2 linked regions of the Struthio camelus genome follow. The protein of the gene in region 2 interacts with the protein of the main gene of each other region in a pairwise test. Links are inferred from orthologs where the notes say so. Each region holds a gene or a part of one and is shown on either strand. Other genes may lie near its edges.

Region 1 (11,275 bases), on a different chromosome or scaffold from region 2:
GCACTCAATGAGACAATAGGAACGGCTAAATTGAGTCAGGTTTTCGGAGCGCCTACAGAACAGAGCAGTGTAAGAACAGAATGTAGAATGTTCTGCCAGCCTTTGAGAATACATAGCTCAGGGGCTTACTCGTTTCATTTGAAATGCTGGAGACTGAGATTTTTGGAGCCTGAGATGTAATTCTTTATTCCTAGTTTTTTCAGTCTTACATACTGTGCTCTACACTAGGTGCATTGTACGTTTTTTTTGTTTGTTTTTCTTCTCTCTCTGAAGTATTGATGGTCACCTTTCTAAGCATGTTGAATTACATGTGCAGTATTACTAAATCTATTCCCCTGTCTTTGGCTTTCTGATATCTTTTTTTTCCAAATGCTAATGAGTTAACCCTTATTTAAAAAAAAAAAAAAAAGTCAGAAAAGGAGAAGCTGATCTGAAGACATCTTACTGTCATGTGTTTATATGTTACTAATATAATTTGAATTTTGTAGTACCTGGTAGTAAAACTTTCTGCAAAGTTTGGTACTATGCCACTAGTATGTTTGATCAGAAAAACTGTGGTCTGTGTTGTAAAATAAAAAAGTTCTAAATATCTTATAAAGTATTGCTTATGAATGTCTTCTGTACTTGAAAACAGACCTGCCAGAACTCACTTGTGCATCTACAACTTTACTGGAGTAGGTCAATGTCATGCTAATCCTTGCTCTTGGAGTTAATTTAAACAGTAAGAAGGGGGGGGAAAAAAAAACCCCTTCAGGTTAGTCATTTTCTGTTTCTGAAACAAGTAGTCATTTTGATAAAAGATATCCCCATGGCAATTTAAAATGATATTGTCCGAATTGTCGCACCAAAAGAAGGCCACTGCATCTCGTTATACCTTTCTAGGGCTATTTTAAGTGATATGAAAGGACTCTTCTCCCTCGTATCCTCCAAATTACAATTATTTGTTTATTGCTGTTTTCCTGGGGAAGCCTTATACTGTACATTTGTTTCAATTTAAAATAAATCTTATCACCAAAATCCCAGCTACGTGTGAGCTGATGAGTACAGTCGAATTCTGCTTTTGTAAAAATTAAGTATGAGCTTAGAAAGATTATTCTTTTCAATGAGTGGTTTCTTTTTAAGTATATACCCAAGCGATGAAGTAAATTATAACCTTAAATCTGGGTTATTGTAGTCTATGCTCCTACCTGTTTCAGTCCTTTGATTTAGCTGTTTGGGTGGTGGGAGATAGGAGTGGTAAAATTTTTGAGGCTTATGACATACTTTAGAGAAGTTCATATCATGATTTAAAAGAGAACAATAATTGGAATCAGCATAAAGAAACTTTGTTTCTGGTACAGCTTCTTGGTTATGTGAGCCTTTGGGCACAGTACTCATCCTCACACTTTAATTAGTTTTTGGTAAATATTTTCTTCCTGCCCTTTTCTCCGTCTAGGCTTCAAAGCTCTTGGAGGTGGGGACTGTCCATTAGCAGCATAGGTTGGTTGAGGTTTCTAATTCTGTAAAGTTACACTTTTATGCTTATTAGCTTAATTTTAAATTTTAGTTCCTAGTCAGAGTTTCCAAGTGTGAAAATAACAATCTCTGAGATGCTTCACTGTGTCGTTAGTTAAAAACTAGCACCCTCTACTATGTTGTACGGCAGTAAAATGGAAAGGAAGTGTCTTTGCAGTTATGCTTTTGTCTTTAAATAGTATCACATGGTGTCTTTACAAGCAAAATAAAAATAGAAAATGTTTTGTCTCATTTTGTTTTTCCAGGGTCTGACAGAAGTTGGGCTTCCTCCTTGGTGCTGGTTGCAGAGCCATTGGCCTGCAGAGGTAAATTAAAAATAATCTTACTGCACACCACCAGAAGAGGGACTCACATGTGTGAAGGGTTGGTGTATGACGTGATCAAGCGCTTCCTGTAAAGGGAGGCTTGTTGAATCCACTTAGCAGTCAATTAGTAACTTCTTATTGGGCCCAACAAGAGTTCATAAATCTACTCATTTCACTTTTTTTGTGATGGATATTCAAAAAGACTGTTTCTTGATTAGCTTAACTTGGGGGTGTGTGAGGGTTGTGTTTTGTGTGGGGGTGTATGGTTTTTTTTTTTTTAATAGGCTATTCCAGGGATCCTTCAAAATTGCTTGCATTCATTTATTTTTCTGTTGACTTACATGTACTCATATGAAATATTCTCTTTAACTGACAACGTTAGTCCTGGACCTAAGCTTTGTTTAAAGCTTACAAAAGCACTGTATACATACAACGGTAGAAAATGATGAACGTAAGTGTGGGTCCCAGCCCCTTCCCCCACCCCAGACTTTCGATGTTCTTTAGATTGATTTAAATAACATTCTAAAAAAAGAAGACAAAAATATTTCCCTGCATCAGACTTAACTCTCTATAGAGAGACCCCTTTGTGTAAATGCGTGGGTCAGATACACTTTAAAATCAGCCCTGCATATTTGGCTCTCCCTTGTAAACCAATAAACTTAAAAAGGTCTCTATTTTGGTGTTCCACTAACTAAAGCTAGATGGTCTGCTAGCTTAAATACTGAAAGATGTTTGGACAGGTAAGCAGAACTTGTTTTGCAGTCCAAGACTGGTTCCTAAATCATTGATGACAGAGTACACTGGTGATGGAATTGTATGCAGTTCATCACAAACTAGCCTAGCAATGAAGTTGTTTCAACTGCGTTATCTTTGAGAAGAAAACTTCTGGCAAGGAAATAACTATTTGTGGAAACTCCTGCTTTCACTGTCTATGTATATTTGTGGAAACTCCGTTTGCAGCTGTCTGCAGTACAACTGTGTGCAGGAGTAGGACTTTGGCAATCACACTGGCAGTTCTGTTCAATTACATGATTTGTAACTCTGTTCTTGTTTAAATTGTGCTACAAACACTTGTGAGAGATGTCATAACCATAATCATGGAAGCACTTACCTTGCAGTCTGCTTGACAAGACCCTTACGTACAGGAAATTGTTACAAGGAACAAAGAACCTGTCCATCTGGTTTGAATGCTATATGAGAGTGGAAGTCTTATCTTGATAATGTGTCTTCAAGTTTATTTTAAGAAATATGATAAGCATGCTGCAAAAACGTTCAAGAACTTGCCTTTCATTTTAAGTATTTTAAAAACTTGTTTTCAACAGATTTGAAATCTTGTAATTAAATTAAGCCTTCTTTAAGTAGTGAGGTACTCTGGGTGGAATTGTATGCACCAAAGTTTGTTTTTTGTGGTGCTGTGAACTCCTGAGTCTTGTAATAGAGGACACAAAAAACGTACTACTACTCCCCTTGCCAGCAAGTGTGAGGTAGATTCATCTGGAATAGATGCATTGTATAATTCTTCTTGCTCTAAAGTCCTGGCTTAATGTGTCTCAAACTTGCTTATTTTGAGAATTGGAATGGAAAAATTGCACTGTTTGGAGGGCTTGTCTGCGTGACGCAACTTCACCTGTTCTGTTGGCACAGTCTGAGTGGGGTTGGCTGTGCTTGCTCTTCTGTAGGTTTGAGGGGCTTTTTGATTCAGTATAAAACCCTTAAATTAACTAGAAAAAGCTACTTATAATAAAATTGCCAGCAAGAAGATTATGCCGGGATAACTTTACTGATTTTAATTCAGTCCTTATTTATGTCAGTATGACATCTTAGGTTATTTTTCAGGGCTGGCTGTTACAAGAGAATCTGTTGAACAGTAATGTTGTATTGAGAGTTTGCAGACGGTTCCTCTCTTCCGGTTGCGGAGTCTAATCCCTTTTATACAGGCTATGCCTGCACAGTAAAGTACTTTGTGGCAGTACTTTGGTCTAGAGGCAGCTGAGCAATGTACGACACGAAGTATATCCCCAAATCAGTGTCAATACATTGTCTTCTAGGACCTGTGTCAAGCTGTTTGGTGAAACAACCAAAAGAAAATTACAGCTTTGTTTTAAAATACTTGAGCTCTTTTTCTTAAGTATGGTATCTTTTTGGCCGACTAGTGCTGCCTGCCTCTTCTGAAGACCCAAGTCAACAATATGCCTATACGTGTTCGTAGCTTCGCAGCAGCAGGGTATAAATAGAGACTGAAGTTTTCGACCTAAAACGTTTCTGGGTTTTGAATTGGATATGTGTTACCAAAGCTTCAGCTACTAGGTTTTTGGGGTGGGGTTTTTTTTTTTTTTTCAAGCTCTTCCTTAGTAAGCAGAGTGAGGGAATGGCAGCTGAAGTTTACAGAATTTGAGCTCATTTGGCACAGAGAGAGGATTTCTGGTAGTTTTGGCCTCATTCCATTCCTTCATTATTAATTTTTTTTTTTTACTGTTATTCTGCAGGTCAGCCATCAGAAGCGTTTCTGATGTGTGGTTATTCCTGTTTTCACAGGACTGCCTTACCTAACACATGAAGGATTCATGTGAGTAACTTCCACTTTTTCTTTTAGGTTCCGCAGTTGCAGAGCGTACTGTTTGCAAATATATCGTTTCTCGATATACTGGATGTGTCTTCCACTGATCTAGAAGCTTGGTATGAAACAAGTTTGGTAGAATTAGTAAAACAATAAGACTCAATCTATTTCTGATTCACAGAATCACAGAAAGGTTTAGGTTGGAAGGGACCTCTGGAGATCATCTCAAGCAGGGTCCTCTAGAGCGTGTTTCCCAGGATCGCGTCCAGAGGGGTTTTGAATATCTCCAGGGAAGGAGACTCCACTACCTCTCTGGGCAACCTGGTCCAATGCTCAGTCACCCTCACAGTCAAGAAGTTTTTCCTCAGGTTCAGAATGAACTTCCTGTGTTTCAGTTTATGCCCGTTGCCTCTTGTCCTGTCGCTGGGCACCACGACAGTTCATCAAAGCCAGTAGAATTGTAACAAATTTTTGCCTTGTTTTATATATTTCTGTAAAAGACTGGTGTAGTATGTATGATCTCTAGTGTTACTCTTGGTGGAACCTGACTGCTAAGCTGACAACTTGCTGTGGCTGCAGAAAAGTGGATTTTGTTACTTTCTTTTCTTTCTTCTTTTTTTTTTTTTTTTTTTTTTTTTTGCTGCTGGGACTTTCAGTCTGCTTTTACTCGCAGTCCATTCTTGCAGTTTCCTGTAAATTGGTCAGTAAGAGGAAGCTCTCAGTGCTGCAGAGACAGCTCAGCCCTGCAACTACACTAGTGAATTTGTACTGGTAAGGACAGCGTAGTGTTGCATGTGTTTTACTGCTCTAGCTTTACAGAAGCTTGAAGTAAGTTGCATTGTTTTTGGGGAGCAAGAGGAGTTTGTAATGATGGCAGATACGATTGACAGTCTTCCTCAGGCAGTGGTCCTGCTGCAGTGAAATTCAAATGTCAGTTGATTTTTTTTTTTTTTTTGATGTTTTGACTCTGCCCATTAAGGCTATCTGAATTAAAAATGTCATAGTGTTAAAGAAATGAAGTTCCTCCTTTTGGGTGAAATCTTCCCTGGGCTAGGTTGGTGGAAGGCCTTCTGCCTATAGATTTTGCAGGGACAAATGCATATTAATGGTGTGAAAGCGACATGCCTGGCTGTTTTGCAAAAATAAATTTCACATTATGAAGGAGGATATATTTCTCTTTCACTTCTGTAACAGACAAGTTAATCAAGGACATAAAGATTTCATGTCTATTCAACCTCTTTATCTGTGGTTGAAACACAACTGTTCTGATTAATGACCAGTCTAGAAAGTTAAGCCTGTGTGTTTTTTTTCTTTTTTTGTTCAATATTCTTTCAAAACTGTGGACCCTATAAACTTTTTTGTTCCTCACTGGAACACCAGCTTGTATTGTGTAAAATGTCTGTTATTCTGACTCTACGTTCTTCCTCTATGATCGTCTTGACAGGGTTGGAAATCACCAGAAAAATCAAAAGGGGATCTGGGAACTTGAAATGAACAGTGTGGCTCTGAGTGCCTAAGAGAGGAAAGGGAGAGGAGAGCAGCAGAAAGATCAGAGTCGAAAAGCAGTACTTCGGGAATGTGTGTTGGATAAAGTGAGACTATGGAGTCCAAACAGCATCAAATTAAAGTTGCGCAGTTTGAAGGGGAAAACTAAGGCATAGGTATGTTAGATCTGAAAATGGAAAGAGGAGCAGTGTATGCAATTCGGGAGAAAATGAACTCAAATACTGTCATTTTAATCATAGTTTTTCACTGAGGTGGAGATAAAGGTGGCAAAGATGGTAATGCAAGCTTTGAAGAGCATGCTTAGATAGCAGAGAACTCTTAGAGTATAGCAGAGAGCTAGGGGAAGAAAGATTGCTTTAAACCATTGTACGTGAACGCTTAAAGTTTAAATGGGTGACTTATATTGTAGTAGTTAAACAACTGAATTTAATGCACAAACTACAGCTCTACAGCTTTTCTGTTTAAGAAATCTGTTAATTAACCACTGAGACAACTGGATATTTATTTATTTATTTGTTTATTTAATATCTTCTAAATATTTTTCAGGATTTTGTCTTGATATGCTATTGTTTCTGGCTAGCAACAGGTGATGCTTAGTCTCCTTGCCCTTCCAATATTCCCTGGTTATGGAAGGAGTGCCAATGGGTATCCCAAGGTGAAGAAGATAGAGAATTGCTTTTCTACCCTATATATATGGCTAGTATGTGAAATGTTGTCTTCTTCTCTCCTTTGACTGCTGGGTACTTTACAGAAACAAAAGAATTTGTACAGAGACTTCTTCCTTCCCATTTTGGAATAGGGATTCATGCCATTTTTCCCAAAATACATGAAGTAAGCTTTATTCAGTGTATCAATCTATATAGGTTTTGTCCATCATTCTGACATAGGCTAGCTTTTTTCCCTTATCTGAACTTCTTAGCCGTGTGTTGGTTAATTCCAGACAGCCAGTGAAGTATTCAGATCTTTTTATTTTAAGAACTCTGGATGAATACTATTATAAATGTAAAACAATGGCATTTGTTTATCATCAGTTGGTGGCACTTGCCTGTAGAATTGTTCCCTTTAACTCATGGTCTCCTTGGGTTAGATTTTTATTGTGTTTGGTGGTTTGAATAGTGTCAAACGTACTGACGGTACTTACTACAAACTGTGTATATCCTGCATAATCTTTCAAAGTGGCCATTCTTAATATTTTGAGTTGGAGAGAAAGAAAAGCTCTAGTGATAGTGAAAAAGAGATGAAATACTCACCATATTTCTGTGTTGTAGGGCAGGTGCTGAAGCGCTTGGCGCTCTTCAGAAGCACCAGGCAATTTTTCTGAACTGTGCCTCTGCTGGTCTGAGAGCCTGAGTGCACTGTAAGAAAAGTGACTACTTTTTTTCCCCCCCCTCCCCTCTCCCGTGGGAAAGTGGTTGATTGAAAGATGAATAGGAAGCAACTTGAGCACTGGAAAATCCCCTCTGCAGTTTGGCTCACTGTCTGACAGAAGTTGAGATATACATGGCTTGATTTACAACCTCTCTGGGAGATTGGGAAATCTGACAAAGACAGTGCTGCCCACTAGCACTGGGGGAAACAGGAAGTAACAAAGGAAACAAGTCATTGCCTAGGCGTCCCCTTTGGCCACACTGCAGTGCAGATGCACGAGCAGTTGGGGCAGGGTTTCTTTTCCTTTTGTGTTGAGTGTACAGCAGCCGTCGCAGTCACACATTGAGCCTTATTATACACAGAATTGGGAGCAGCGCAGAGATGCCCCTCTCATGTCCGAGAGGGGTCATAAGTTATTAATGGCTTTGTTATTGCAAAGGAAGCGATCGTTTGGTGAAACTGTCAGCAGGAAAACTATGTGTCGATCAAGCATGGTCACCAGGTTAGTGCATGTCTATCTGTGGCTTGTATTTCTGTGTTCTTTCCTCTTTTAGGTGGAGAGCAGACTAAAGCTAAGAGTAGAATATTGTATTTGGGAAAAATATTCTTTACCCTTGAATTTTCTACATTAATTATTAGAGGGGGAAGAGATGAGAAGAGTTGGAACTGCTTGCCTGAAAAGAAAAGCAAGCTGAAGCAAGCTGAAGTGTGTGCCTCAGTCAGGCTTAGTTCTCTGTCCCCTTTGTCCTGTAAGATCTATTTGACTTCCCAGTGTTTGTGCTATGCTATTAATCCTTCTGAGAGACCATTGTGAAAGGAGCTGTTAGAAGTATTAGGAAATGGAACGTGTAACCCCCAAAAGTGGGAGAAATACGGATCAGCATTTCAGAAATACTGAAAAATATTTAATAAATGAAGAATAATCCTGCAGACATTTCAGGACTAGAAAAGAGTTTTGAGAACAGATGGTAAATGTGTAAACTGTTGAACTGAGAACTACTTTTTGTTCAGTCTTAATGAGAGCACACTGGGGAAACTTTTATAGTTCTACTATACACGTAATGCTACTTCAGTTTTGGCTAAATCATTTGCAGAGACTGAAACTTAAATCTCCCTCTGCAAGGTATGTGGAATGCATTCGTTTTCATAAATTCTATGTGCATTCAGAAGCAAACATCTTGCTGTGCTAGGTTTTACTTTCCAAATAGAATCTAGAGGCTTTTATAGAGTTTAGAAAGTCCTTAGATTTAATTTACATTAAAATAGCTTGCGATGAATTTGGATCAGATTCAATTTTTGTAATGCAGTTTTGGAGTCTAGTTTTTTTTGTTTATTTTTCAGCATGACCAGGCTCCAGGATAGACTGTAAATATTATTATGACAAGTGAGGACTTTTAACGCAGCTTTTGGCAGCGGTAGTTTCAGAGATGAGAGTAATGTGTTTTTACGCCTGTATGCTGCAAGATGTGGAGCTCATCACATCTGCTGTATGTTACACTTGAGTTCAGGAAGAACTGAGGACTCATGGCTCTTTCAGGATGCAATCCTTAGTTGAATCAGCCTGTATTTGCTTTAATTTGGCTGAATGCTGATAGCTCTTAAGGCCAAGAGGGGTGAGTGTTCTTCCGTAATGTATTCCAGATTTAATGTGGTAGAACTTTATTTTTACTTTGTTTGTTTGCTTGTTTTACTTTTTTAGGGTTTTTTAGCCTGTGAAATTATACCTCATACTCAAATCTAGCTATTTTCTATGCATTGACTGAGGGGATAGGTTGAAAATTACTTCATAGATGTGTACGTTTGCACATTATACAGTAACAGCAGCCTGTACGGTGTTTGCGGTTGTGTTTGATAACAGTGTCATTATGATTCAGAAGAAACTTACAAAGCAGCACGGCCTTATCAAGGGTACACCATGAAGTGCATAAGTTCACCTTTCTTCATGCCGTTGTGAGTTTCATGATACAGATGCCCTTCTTTGTGCTAAAATGAAGGGCACTTTATTTTGATAATGTCTAAGAAAGGTATATTCAAATGATAGACAGGGTTGGACTGACTTGATGCATTAACTGTGCACTGCAAACTGTTTTGGTTTTCAGTCTGGCGGACTGAAAACCAACATACATACGTTTGCAGCCGGCAAACATACACTTGCATGTATGAAGCAGGTACAACAGTACTTGCATTAAGTGCTGTATCTTGCTGGAGAGCAGTGTAACTGCACTGTTCCGTCTTTCAAAAAACGGTTGAAGCAGTTCCTATAAAGTGCTGTTCCAGTGTTTCTCCTACTATACTCAAAAGCCTATGATCTCCCTCAAATGGTCACAGGGATCATAAGATCACTGTCTGCTGTAATTCTCTTGTGGCTCAGAGGTCTAGTTCAGTGCCATTTCAGTGAGGAAGGAGGTTGGTTTAATAGCCACTTGTAATGGGTTTTGGGACGTGATGAAGACTTAGTCTAAAAATATGTATCTATTTCCTTGGTGACAGGAGTGGGAAGGAGCATGTGTGTGGCTATTACTAGAAACTAGCACAACACAAAGCACAAGTGTTGTTGCATTGTAGTTTCTAACAGGACAGGCATCAGCAAGTGAGCGTGGCTTGTCCTTGATGGCACTTGGTGGACCCTTTCTATTAACTTCATTGTTAACACAATGGAAGTGCAATTAAGTCAATGTAGTGCAAGACGGTAACTACATAAAAACCACATCTTGGAAATATCTTTCTGCTCTTAATGATCATAGAGCTAATAGGCTCTACAGTGACTTTAGTCACTTGCTATTGAGGGTACCTGAGTATTGGTCTGTTCTTCGTGCAATGGATTTCAAAAATAAGAAAAAGAATATCAGGAGTGGAAGGAACCACTTCATGGAGCTAAATGCAACCATATCATGGATGCTAAGTCCAGAAAAATCTATAAGAGCATCTTTTTTTTTTTTTTTTTTCCTTTCTCCACCCCTGCAATAAACATCCTATAGTTAGGTTGTTTTGATAGCTGTGTCCCTGTAACATGATGCAAAATAGCATCTAGTGTTCTTTGAAGATTGTTTTGCACTGTCAAGAAAAGTGAAAATCTGTTTATGACCAGACTAAAAATACTTAGCTGGATTTTAGAAGCCTAATTCAAACACTTTGACCCAGAATACTAAAGTCTTCCCTATGTGTCTTTAGTTTTCACCTGAAAGTGCTTGAGGAGCCTGCAGATATTGGGGGTGGTCTAAGCCCTGGTGAGGTCCAGCGAATAGGCACAGCAGCCTGTAAACCCATTGAAAAGCCTGGTATATTAGGTGGTCCCTTAAGCTTATCTCATACAAACTTGACCGAGTTCAGCCACGTGTCCTTTCATTCAGTTGGCTAGGATGGGGAATTTCTGAGGTTTGGTGTCTGTTATCATAACTGTTTTATAGTAGGAAGTCAAAAAAAGGAAATGATCGTGAATAGAGGAATAGGAACCTGATACTCTACCATTCTTCCTCCTAAGTTAAATCATAGTCATCATACTGTAGAACTGGATTCCTTGCTTGTTCCTCTGCTTCCATGATACCCTCCCCCCTGCAACGTTCTGGCTCTTCTGGGAGAAGAGGAAAGTGCCCTATCCACAAGCTTTTGAGCAACTAGTCTAACTACTGTATTGCCACGTAGAAGGCCACCATGACTTAATCAAATATTTGTTTTCAATATTTACCTAGGGAGATTTGGTTGGATTATCAGGGATACTCCTGTTGCCCAGTGTTTTTCATTGGCTTGGTAGAAATTTTAGCTTGCTAGTTATTTTGGATAACTGCTCTGAGACATTGAACTCTCTCTTTTTCTGATACGTATTTGACTTAAGTACATAACACTGGGAGTATAGTTTCATTCTAAAGGCCAGATGCTTAAGTCCTCTTGGTCAGTTCCTTGTGAAATAAGCGGACAAGATTTGAAGACTTATGCTGAGCTTGAAGCTGTTTGATAGCTTTGAGACTAATGCTAGAATTACACCAACGTAACTGAGATTAGAGTGCGTTTGACTGAATAAAAAGGT
Region 2 (11,916 bases):
GAAGTTTGCTACAGTGCTGACATGGTTGGCGCAGGCTCCTTTTCTCACGTCATTCACGCCTTCGCCAGTCTGCAAAGAGAAATCATCAGGACCTCCTTATCGGAAAGTCCCATCCCAGACTATTTTTATAGCAGCAACACCTTGATCTAGGCCTGAGAAATGATCTCCACAGCCATCACGCTAACCAAGCGGAGGGCTCCAGAGAGGCCCACTGCTTGGAGCAAAGTTACGGCATAAGGCAGGACGCAGAGAATGGGATCCTATACTGGGGCTTGCAGCCTCCCTGGGCCGACACGCCATGGCCTGAACCTGCAAAGCTACCAGCTGCCTGCTGTTGCACGACAGCAGATCTGCAGCAAGCACTGCCCGGAGGGAGGTCGCAAGCCCCCTGCCCGGGGACGATGGCTGCACGACAAGAGAGCTCCAGGCTCCTGCTGATCTTCAACCGTTTCTTTCAACCTGTTCTAGACAGGTCCTTTCGGTCATTCATAGACCTCTAATATCAGACAGCAGCCACAGCAGCGGACACATTACATCCTCAGTCTTACAACTTGGTAGAGGGGATTTGACATGTTGGCTGCTGAGCGTTTGGCAACTACGATTCAAGAGAGACTCTCCTATGAAAGAAGAAGGTCTCTCCTCACTCACCCAGTTGACAAGGACGTATTTGGGCAGGCCGGAGTTGGGATCCTTCACCCTACAGAAGGCATACATCACCTTCCCACTGTTGAGCTCCTCCACCATCTCCTCCAAGCCACCATCTGCCCCAGGAGAGAAAGGAGAAGGGGGTGAAGCAAGCAGACGTAGCACTTGCCAACGCAGGAGAGCTTCAGGCAAGCACTGGGAAAGGGGACAAATCACAAGTTACTCGTCTCATGGCATCTCAAGGCAGCCAGTGTGGTGAAAACAGCCAAGCCTGCAAAGGTTGCAGCCTCCTGGCTGCTCGCTTACTAGAGATTATTGCTGTTGTGTGACCAGGCACGGGCACATCTGGATTTGTCCTATGCTAAAAGCACAACCAACCTATGCCAGACACCTCTTACCACGTGTTTTCCCCAGTCCTCCCATTATCTTCTCATTCGTGTGCGATCTGAGCGTCAGCGAGCTCTCACCCACGCCCCCATCCCTCTTTAGAGCAAGAGTTTCTCTTCTTCAAAAAAGACGCTGTCAGGACCTCGACTGCTACAAGCACACCTACGCATACTGAAACATCCCGGGTCCATAACAGCGAGTCAAGTGAAGAGATACAAAAGGAAAGAAGGTAGTCATGTGTTCCAGGCTAATTAGAGACGTTAATGCGCCGATCAAAGCCAGAGTAGACGGCTGTAAACTCTGCCCACAAGTTCTTACATGAAATCACACGGCAAGATCTTACAGTGAGCGCCTCCACCATGAGAAAAAAGCTCAATGGGAGTCCTGCTACTGATCTCAGCAGGATCAGCGACGTCTCAAGAAGCTGCAGAGGAACTAGCTACGCCCGAGAGCTGTCTTGTTCACAGCACACCTTATAAGGCCCACAGAGGCTGAGACGAGCGCTACTTCGTAAAACGGGAAGTTGACACGAAACAGAGACGCTGCACTGCGCTGGGGCAGTGCAAGTTCCCGCTCACCAACGGTATGAGTTAGTACCACTCCTGCCCTCGCGCTTTTCTCACTGCCCTTAAGCCCGCAGGGTCCTTCCAAGCAAAGCCTCATTGCAAGGAGGTCTCCTCCCAGCTACAAGCTTGGGGACAGAAAAAGAAAAACCTACCTCTGCACAGAGATGGAGTTTTGAAAGTCTCGGCGCAGAGGTTGAGCAAGATGGGCGAGTGCAAAGGCCCAGATGGAAAGTGCTACATTGCACCATTAACCACAGCATCACTCCCTCTAAAACCGTATGCCAAAAAAGCTAGCAGAAAAGGAGGAAAAACGCAAAAACATGTGCTCTCATTTCAAAAAAATTCCCACAAAGATTCCTCCTACAACACTGGTCTGTCTGACCCCTAAAAAAAACAGAAAACAAACTCTCGCTTGCCATCAAACACTGGTAGCAATTTCACGGTCGAGACTGTTTAGATCTGCACTGCAGCAGGACCAGAGATCTTTTTCTCCTCCACAATTAAATATTTACGCTTTGTCTCTAAATTTGGCACAGTGGTTTCCAAGCCCGAGCCCGACAGAAAAGCGTACGCCTGAAAGACTCGAGCTGGTCGGCCGATGGAAACCCTTGCTACGGAGGCAGGCTTTCCAAGGGCCCCAGGGCTACCCGCCAGCACGTTTGCCTGTTTGCTATGTCAATGTTTAACGGGGATTGTGGCTGGCACGGAAGGGTGGAGGGACATAAAGGGCAGTGCAGGGAGGAGCACAGCTCTGCAGAGACGTCAGGGCTCCAGGGAGACTGGCACCTACGGGTGGGTGTCCACAGGAGTTACGTACCGCCTGGATCACAAACTGAGCAGGTTTTCCCGCGAAAACCTAAGGTACTTTTGATTGGCGTACAAAACTCTCCAAGACAGGGAGCTAAGCGGTTAACACCTAACTTCCTGCGCGGTTCCTAAATTCAGATCGCCCTCTTCCACACATTTCTCCCTCCACGCTCTTCGACTACAGCAAACCTGCATTTCAATTCCACATCTAATCATCCGCAGCCATGCCTGCGTTCACAGGCCGTCCCGTCCTCGTCCTCGGCAGCCTTCGCGGTACGCCTCCCCGGCCCGGTTTGACAGCATCCTCCGCTGGACGCAAGGCCTAACGCAAAACCCCACGGCACGCCTGGCTTGCTCGACCCTGCGAAGCCGCATCGGTCCCAGAAACGCGTCACCTAGCTGCGGTCAGCCAGCAAAGCGCTCTCAAGGTGCCGAGCGCTTCGTGGGCTGCGAAAAACGCTTGCAAATTCAGAGAGGAAAGCAGCGAGGGAGCAGAGCTGAGGGATGCAAATCGAGAGAGCAAAGAAACCCGCCTGGATGCGTCCGTCGCCTTTTAACAGCTTTAGCTTCGCATTAAGAAGCATTTGTGTGCGAACCAGCAACCAGATGCAAAACGTCCCATAAAGCAGGGAACGAAAGGAAGAAAAGACGCTTTATCAGCAGCAAGTTAAAACTGCCAGCACGAGAGGCCGAGCTTTGAAGCGTCCTACAGCGCTTTTTTACGTCGCGTTACCCCTGCTTGCGGTCTCAAATACGTCAGGATCGAAAAGGGGAAGAAGGTCCAAGGGTTGAACGTAGCAGCCGCTGAAGAGAGGGAAACAACAGCACACGAAGGAGAGGAGAAGGAAGAACCGCGCGCGGCTCTCAACGCGCGCCCAGGGCTCTTCTCCCTTTTCCTACCGTGCGACCGTTCCCGTTTCCCCCCCCCCCCCCGCCCTCAAAAAAAAGGGCGCAAACCACCCCGCAGTCGCCCGCGCGGGCTCTCGCCCTCCGTCCCGCCGCCGAGGTGAGCCGGTACCGAAAACACCCTGCGTTCGGGAGCCGGGGCGAGGGAGGGAGCGCAGCTCCCCGTCGCTGGAGCTGTTCCAGGCGGACGCCGGACGCCACCAGAAGGGCCGAGAGCGGCGACGCCAGCCAGAGCGCGTGAGCTCGGCGAGGCAAGCCCTTCCCAAATCCAACCCGCGCCGCCGGGGCCGCCGGGGCCGCCGGCCTTCCCTCTCCGCCCCCCCCCCCCCCCCCAAAAAAAACCCACGCTCACCTCCCGAGCCAGCCACTCGCAGATCATTGCTGTTGCCTTCGTACGTAAACAGGGCCCTAAGATGAAAAAGCCGGAGGGGAGAGGTTTCGTCAAAGCGGTCGGCCCCTCTCGGAGGTCCTCGGGGCAGCGCCGCCCGCCAAGCCAGCCCGCTTCGGAGCCCCCCCGCCCCCCCGGGCCATACCCCGCGCAGCCCCCCAAGCCACGCGCCTCATCTCCCCTAAGCGCCCCCACCACCGCCCCCCCCGTCCCCCTAGGCCCCCCCCGCATCCCCGATCCCCCCTATATACCCCCTTATACAGCCCGCATCCCTCAAGATACCCCCCGACACCCCCACAACCCCCCCTCTCCCCTGTTCACCCAGCCGCAGACACCCCCTCGCCCCAAGCCTCCTAGAGCCCCCACATGACCCCCAACACCCTCAGACGCCTCAGCCCCCTACACCCCCACATCCCCCCACACCCCCATCTCTGATCCCCCTACACACCCCCCACCCCCCCACATCCCTCATCCCCCTACACCCCCGTATCCCCCCAACCCACATCCCCCCCACACCCCCACATCCCTCATCCCCCTACACCCCCGTATCCCCCCAACCCACATCCCCCCCACACCCCCACATCCCTCATCCCCCCTACACCCCCATATCCCCCCACCCCACATACCCCCCACACCCCCACATCCCTCATCCCCCCTACACCCCCGTATCCCCCCACCCCACATCCCCACATCCCTCATCCCCCCTACACCCCCATATCCCCCCACCCCACATCCCCCCTACACCCCCGTATCCCCCCACCCCACATCCCCCCCACACCCCCACATCCCTCATCCCCCTACACCCCCGTATCCCCCACCCCACATCCCCCCACATCCCCCCATCCCTCATCCCCCTACACCCCCATATCCCCCCACCCCACATCCCCACATCCCCACATCCCTCATCCCCCCTACACCCCCATATCCCCCCACCCCACATACCCCCCACACCCCCACATCCCTCATCCCCCTACACCCCCGTATCCCCCACCCCACATCCCCCCACATCCCCCCATCCCTCATCCCCCTACACCCCCATATCCCCCCACCCCACATCCCCACATCCCCACATCCCTCATCCCCCCTACACCCCCATATCCCCCCACCCCACATACCCCCCACACCCCCACATCCCTCATCCCCCCTACACCCCCGTATCCCCCCACCCCACATCCCCACATCCCTCATCCCCCCTACACCCCCATATCCCCCCACCCCACATCCCCCCTACACCCCCGTATCCCCCCACCCCACATCCCCCCCCACACCCCCACATCCCTCATCCCCCTACACCCCCGTATCCCCCCACCCCACATCCCCCCCCACAACCCCACATCCCTCATCCCCCCTACACCCCCATATCCCTCCACCCCACATCCCCCCCACACCCCTGTAACCTTCATCCCCCACCTACACTCCCCACATCCCCCCTAACACCCCTCCTCCCCCTACACCCCCACATCCCCCCCACATCCCTCCTCCCCCCACACCCTCACATCCCAACACCCCAGAACCCCCCACACCCCCACATCCCCCCACACCCCCACACCCTTCCTCCCCCCACACCCCCACATCCCCCCCACATCCCTCCTCCCCCCACACCCCCACATCCCTCCTCCCCACACCCCCTAACACCCCTCATCCCCCCTACACCCCCCATACCCCACATCCCTCCCCACACCCCCACATCCCTCCTCCCCCCACACCCCCCCATCCCCCCAACACCCCCACACCCCCCAACACCCCAGAACCCCCCTACATCCCCTCACATCCCCCCCACCCCCGATCCCCCCCACCCCAGGCCCCCCCCGCCCCAGAGGCCCCCCGCGGCCCCCCCGGCCCGGCCGGGCCCTCACCAGTCGGTGGGGCTGCCGGCCGCCACCACGCGCCCGTAGGCCTCCTGCAGCGCCGGCCCGTTCTTGCTGAGGTTCAGCGCCATGGCAGCGCCGCCGCTTCCGCCCCCGCCCGCCACCGGCACCGGCACCACCGCCCCCCGCCCCGCCCCCACGGGCCGCCCCGCCCCGCCCCCCGAGCCGCCCCGCCCCCGAGCCGCCCCGCCCCGCCCCCCTCCCCGCCCCCCTCGCCGCCCCGCCCCCTCACCGCCCCGCCCCGCCCCCACGAACCGCCCCGCCCCGCCGCCGCCCCGCCCACCACTCCGACCGTCACGCCCCCCGTCACGCCCCCCGTCACGCCCCCCCTCTCCCGCCTCCCGGCCGCCTCGCACCGCCACTGCCACCGCCGCCCCCTGCCAGCGCGGCCTCGGGGGACACCAGTGGGGCCCTGGGGACACCAGTGGGGCCCTGGGGACACCCTGCCCCAGCACGGCCCTGGGGACACCAGTGGGGCCCTGGGGACACCAGTGGGGCCCTGGGGACACCCTGCCCCAGCACGGCCCTGGGGACACCAGTGGGGCCCTGGGGACACCAGTGGGGCCCTGGGGACACCCTGCCCCAGCACGGCCCTGGGGACACCAGTGGGGCCCTGGGGACACCAGTGGGGCCCTGGGGACACCCTGCCCCAGCACGGCCCTGGGGACACCAGTGGGGCCCTGGGGACACCAGTGGGGCCCTGGGGACACCCTGCCCCAGCACGGCCCTGGGGACACCAGTGGGGCCCTGGGGACACCAGTGGGGCCCTGGGGACACCCTGCCCCAGCACGGCCCTGGGGACACCAGTGGGGCCTTGGGGACACCAGTGGGGCCCTGGGGACACCCTGCCCCAGCACGGCCCTGGGGACACCAGTGGGGCCTTGGGGACACCAGTGGGGCCCTGGGGACACCCTGCCCCAGCACGGCCCTGGGGACACCAGTGGGGCCTTGGGGACACCAGGGCGGCCTTGGGGACACCCTGCCCCAGCACGGCCCTGGGGACACCAGTGGGGCCCTGGGGACACCAGTGGGGCCTTGGGGACACCAGGGCGGCCTTGGGGACACCCTGCCCCAGCACGGCCCTGGGGACACCAGTGGGGCCCTGGGGACACCAGTGGGGCCTTGGGGATACCAGTGGGGCCCTGGGGACACCCTCTGCCCCAGCACGGCCCTGGGGACACCAGTGGGGCCCTGGGGACACCCTGCCACAGCATGGCCCTGGGGACACCAGTGGGGCCTTGGGGACACCCTGCCCCAGCACGGCCCTGGGGACACCAGTGGGGCCTTGGGGACACCAGTGGGGCCCTGGGGACACCAGTGCAGCTTTGGGGACACCAGTGGGGCCTTGGGGGCTCCAGCACAGCCTCGGGGACACCCTGTCCCAGTGCGGTGCAGGGGACCCCCCTCGCACACACCCTCACTCGGACCCCCCCCCCGCCCGGATGGCCCCCGCGTCCCCTGGGGACACCGACACCCCTTGGGGACACCCCAACCCCTCCCTCACCCCAAAGGGCCCCCAAGCCCCAGAGGATCCCTATGGGGGGGGGGGAAGAGTTTGCTCCACCGTCACCAAAAAAACCCTTTTTCCCCCCAAATCCTGCATCCCTTGCACACTGTGGGGGAGGGGGGGGGGCAAAATTGCGGAAGGAAATTGGGGAAGGAAAAGCCAAAAATAAAGTAACCAAAACAGGCAAAAAGTTGCCGTTCCAGCCGCAGCGCTCACGGTTTTAACGCTCTTTTTTCCCTTTCTTCCGGAGCCGCTTTCCCAACCGCAGCGAACGTTTCCCAAATCTTCGGGGAAAAGCCAAAGGAGGAGGGGGGGGGAGGAAAAAATCCAAATGTTTGGAAAAATCCAACGATGATTTTGGGTTTTTTTCCCCCCTCCCCGGGGCCAGCCGGGATGAGCCGAAACCCGCGGGGAAAAGCCCGATTTTTCAATCCCCGCTCTCGGGCCGTCGCTCCGTCGCGCCCTGCTTGGATACAGCCGCCTTCTTCCAGCGCGGGAAGAACGTGCTGCCGATTCCACGGCTGAAAACAACAATAAGCCGGGAAAAAACAAAAAAACTAATTCCCCCCCCCCAGTTTCTTTTCACCCGGCTACACTTTTGCCGCCTGACTCAGGGCGTTTTTCTTTTTTTTTTTTTCAGGATGCCATCCGGGGCTCATTGTTTCCCGGCTCTGATTCCCCCCTTTTTTTTTTTTTTTTCCGCCTTTAACGCCCAAAAAAACCCCTTTCGCCAGCCAAAAATCCCCGCGTCACCGAGCCGTAAATCTCCGCGCCGAGCGGAGCGCCCGCGGCGGGAAGTCGAGCAGCTTTTCCAACCCCCCCCCCCCCCCCCGTCGCCTTGCGCTTTGCCCAAATACTTGATGTTTTTACAGGATTCCAACTTTTTGGCTTTTTTCCCGCGCCTGCGCTCCCGGCGCCCGTCCCGGGGCAGCGCCGGGCTCCTGTTTACACGGCTTTGGGCCCTCTCCGCGCTCGCCGCCAGGTGGCTCTGCTCCCCTGGCGTCCTTTTGGGGGGGGGCCCCCCCCCCAAAAAAAAAGCCCCAAAAAAGCTAATTAAACTCGGCACGGGTCGGGGCCGATTAATTATTTTTATGAATTTTGGTTGCGGGGGGCTTTCGGAGCCCGGCGTGGCCCCACCGTTCCCGGCCCGCCGGCCGCCTCGACGCGGACCCCCAACAACTAACTGGGGGGTTTGTGGGGGGTTTCGGAGGCCGGCCTTGAGCTGCTTTCGAGCTTAAACTGAGCATTTTGGGGTGCAACTTCCCCCCCCCACCGCCGCCGTCGAAGGGAAAGAGCGACCCAAAGAAAAGATGCTGCGGGAAGGGAAGGGAAGGGAAGGGGGGCTTCAGCCCGCTCCGGGGCCGAGGCGACACGCGGGGAAAGCTCGCCGCGGGTGCTAACAGGAAAAGACGTGTTTTTTCCCCCGCTGGCCAAGCTAAAAAAAAAACAAAAAACAAAAAAGAGGAAAAATATTTAAAAAAAAAGAGAAAAACCCGGGATTAACATTCCTAACGCGCGGCAGCCTCCTGCCCCGGCTGGCGGCCACTGCGGTTTCGGAGCCACCGGCAGGTGAGATTTAGTCCGGTGTAATTAAAGGAGGTGAAAAACGAGCAGCCCGGAGCGCTCGCCACCGGCGGGACGCGGCGCGCGGGGGCCTCGCTGCCAAAGCCCCCGGCCTGCCCAAAACGGGGGGCTCGGGGAAGGAGAGCCCCCCCCTCCCCGCCAGCGCGTCCTCCGATTCCCTCCCGCCTCGTTTTTCCCGCGAGCCGGAGGCTGCAGCCTCTGGTGGGAGAAAGTTTCCCCCTACTCCAACCCCGAGCTGAGAACTGAGAAAGTCGTGACATGCACCGAGCGAAAGGCGCGCGGCCGGCGCTTTGGATGCTTGTTGGACGCCCCCTCTTCTGCTACCCGCTAGCGCAGGCAGGGGGGCGCGTGGGCCGCGGCCGCCCGCTGTGCCTCGGTTTCCCCATCTGCAGCACACGCGCGCCGGGCTGCCCGTTTACTTGGCAACCGGGGTAGGGGGGGGCGAAACTTCAAATTTCCCTCGGGGGTAGCGAGACGTTCGCCGGCGTGCGGAGGGCTCGGGCCGGCTCGGATGCCGCCGCCGGAGAAATCACAGCGCTGCTCTGCCTCTGCAAGCAGCTTTGCGGCCTTTTTTCCCCCAAAACCAAGCCGGGAGCAGGACGGTGGGGTGGGTGGGGGGGGGAGCCGAAAGCCGGCGGGAGGTGGCTCGCAGCAGCCGAGCATCCTGCCCTCCCGGAGCGGGGATGTAAATGCCGGCCGGCCGGTGCCAGGCCCTGCATGGCCGCAGGGCTCGGTGCCCCCTCCTCCAGGCTTGCGCTAATGGGCCATTTGCAGATAGTCATTTCGGGTGCTCACCCACCCCCCCCCCAAAAGCGCCCCGAGGCGGCCGCTGCTCCCAGCCCCCAGCCCTGCCTCCTCCTTCCTCGTTCCAGTCACCACCACCCCGCCATGGGGCCAAAGCGACCCCTTGGACCCCCCAAATCCAGCTGCCGAGGCCTGGAGGTGGGGTGGCGACCGGGAGGGGAGGAGTGGGGTGGCCGAGGGTCCCGGGATGGCTGAGGATCCCAGAGTGGATGAGGGTCCTGGTGTGACTGAGGGTCCTTGGGTGGCCGAGGGTCCTGGGGCAGCTGAAGGTCCTGGGGTAACTGAGGGTCCCAATGTAGCTGAGACCCCCAGGATGGCCAAGGGTCTCGGTGTGGCCAAAAGTCCCTGGGTGGCCAAGGGTCCCAGATGGCTGAGGGTCCCAGGATGGCCAAGGACCCTGGTGTGACCAAGGATCCCAGGACAGATGAGAGTCCCGGGGTGACTGAAGGTCCAGGTGTGACTGAGGGTCTCAGGGTGGCTGAGGATCCTGATGCGGCTGAGGGTCCTTGGGTGGCCAAAGGTCCCAAGGTGGCCCAGGGTCCTGGGGTGGCCAAGGGTCCTAGGTGCTGAGGGTCCTGGGGCAGCCAAGGGTCCCAGGGTGCCTGAGGTCCTGGCGTGACTGAGGACCTGGGATGGCCAAGGATCCTGGGATGGCTGAAGGTCCTGGGACGGCCTAGGGTCCCAGGGTGGCCGAGGGTCCCGGGGTGACCAAGGATCCTGGGGCAGCTGCTCTCAGGGCGCCAATTCCCAACACCGCGGTCCCCCGAGCACGGCGTGCAAATCGATGCTTTGCAAAAGTATCTTTGCAAAAAGACGGGTGATGAGGGGAGGCGGAGGGGCGGCATCTCACTTGCCCCAGGGGCATTTCCAAAGTTTTTAATTTATTTTAATTTACGGTAGCTTTTCTTATCCCTCCCCGGTGTTTCGGGTGGCAGTTTGATGTCCCCACGGAGGAGGGCTCGTCGGTTAAACGTGAAATCCCGCTCCGGTTTCATCCTCGCAGAGCCTTTGGGATGCTGCTAAATGGAAGGGGAAAAACTTCGACAACTCGAACATGCTCAGGCAAATCCTGGTCGATGGGATCTCGTTTAGGGGCGCGCGTAAGCCTGGGTAATTGCTTGTGTTTCGTTTGGGGCTGCGCAGCGGCAAAGCAGGGTGTTAGGTGTGTCGAATGCTGCTGCCCCCGGGAAAACCAGCGATAAAGGCGATTCCAGAGCCCCCCTTCGGCCTCCCCCGCTCCCTGGCTCCCAAATTTCTGGCCCGCTTTGAGCTCATAGCAGGGCCAGGAGCGAGGCCCTTGGCCCCAGCCTGAAAACAAAACACCCAAATCAAACAGGGGCAAAAAAAAAAAAAAAAAAAACAGAAAAAAAGACCCGAGTGAAGGCAGCAGCCACGACGGTGTTGGCCCTGTTAAGTGTGTCAGCGCTGCGGTCACCGCCACCTCGTTCCTGCACCTGCGCCCCACTTTGTGGGCTTTCAAGGGGTCGCCACAAGCCGGGGTGCCGGTGGGAGCAGTGAGAGATGTTGGGGAAAATAAAGCTTTCACTATTTTCTTTAAAACAAAAAAAAAAAAGCAACGTAGTAGTCCCGCAGCGAGATCTCTGAGAGAGGCCCCGGGGTGAATTCGCCAGGAAAATCACTGCCTCCCACTCACGCCCAGGAAAATCACTGCCTCCCACTCGTGCCCGGGGAAATCACTGCCTCCCACTCGCGCCTGGCTGGAGGGCTCTCCCCGCTGCACCCACCCCCTCAGCGCAGAGCCGAGGGCGACCTGGGGGCTGGCAGATGTTCGCTCGGCGTTGAGCAACTCGATGGAAAGGTTAATTAAAAGCAGGGCAATAAAACATCTGGAAGAGCGCGAGCTGGGAAGGCCCAGGCAGCACGATACCCTGCAGCTGCCTCTCGCCGTTCCTTGAGAAACTTGGGCAGGGGGGACCGGGGTCACCATTTATTTAGATGTTACAAAAGCCTTTTCATGAAGTATTTCAGGCAAAGCTACTGAAGAACCTTTGTGGCGAGGACCGAGGGGCTGCCGGCCTGCAAGGACGGGGAGGAGTAAGACGAAACGGCCGGCTTATCCCGGCCCAAATGCTGCCCGTCCTGTCCTCTCAGCTAGGGCCGATTTTCCAAATAGGTTTTTTAAGCCGGAGAGGTTTTGGAAGCGAGAAACACGACCCCGGGGCAAAGCGGTGTCGGGCGAAATGGGGAAGTGGCAAGTCCGCAGGGCGATAAAGGTTGGCGGGAGACGTGTTTGGGCTGTGGCATCGGCCGCCCCGGATTTCGCGGAGAGCAGAGCCCGGGATGGGTAACGGGGGGCAGCTGCTAAAGCGAACGTGGCGCTGGGGCTGTGAGAAAAAGGAGGGAACTTGGATTTACGAGGGTTTTCCAAAGGGGTCCGACCTCCAGGCTGGCTCAGAGCACCACGAGGCACTGGGCTTTGGGCCCATGGGTGCC

Evidence for each region.
Region 1: the proteins of DBNL (region 2) and SH3BP2 interact in binary tests that used the Homo sapiens proteins (3 or more experiments, as listed by UniProt). The link is inferred for Struthio camelus from reciprocal best matches to the Homo sapiens genes DBNL and SH3BP2.

What each region holds. Positions count from the first base shown.
Region 1 is NC_090945.1:76,987,486-76,998,760, reverse strand, and holds the start of SH3BP2 (SH3 domain-binding protein 2), read left to right. Parts: upstream 1-6,881; 5' UTR 6,882-7,643; coding exon 7,644-7,753; intron 7,754-11,275. UniProt on the Homo sapiens protein: Binds differentially to the SH3 domains of certain proteins of signal transduction pathways. Binds to phosphatidylinositols; linking the hemopoietic tyrosine kinase fes to the cytoplasmic membrane in a phosphorylation dependent mechanism.
Region 2 is NC_090968.1:1,670,219-1,682,134, forward strand, and holds the start of DBNL (drebrin-like protein), read right to left. Parts: upstream 5,725-11,916; 5' UTR 5,639-5,724; coding exon 5,556-5,638; intron 3,720-5,555; coding exon 3,664-3,719; intron 762-3,663; coding exon 649-761; intron 70-648; coding exon 1-69. UniProt on the Homo sapiens protein: Adapter protein that binds F-actin and DNM1, and thereby plays a role in receptor-mediated endocytosis.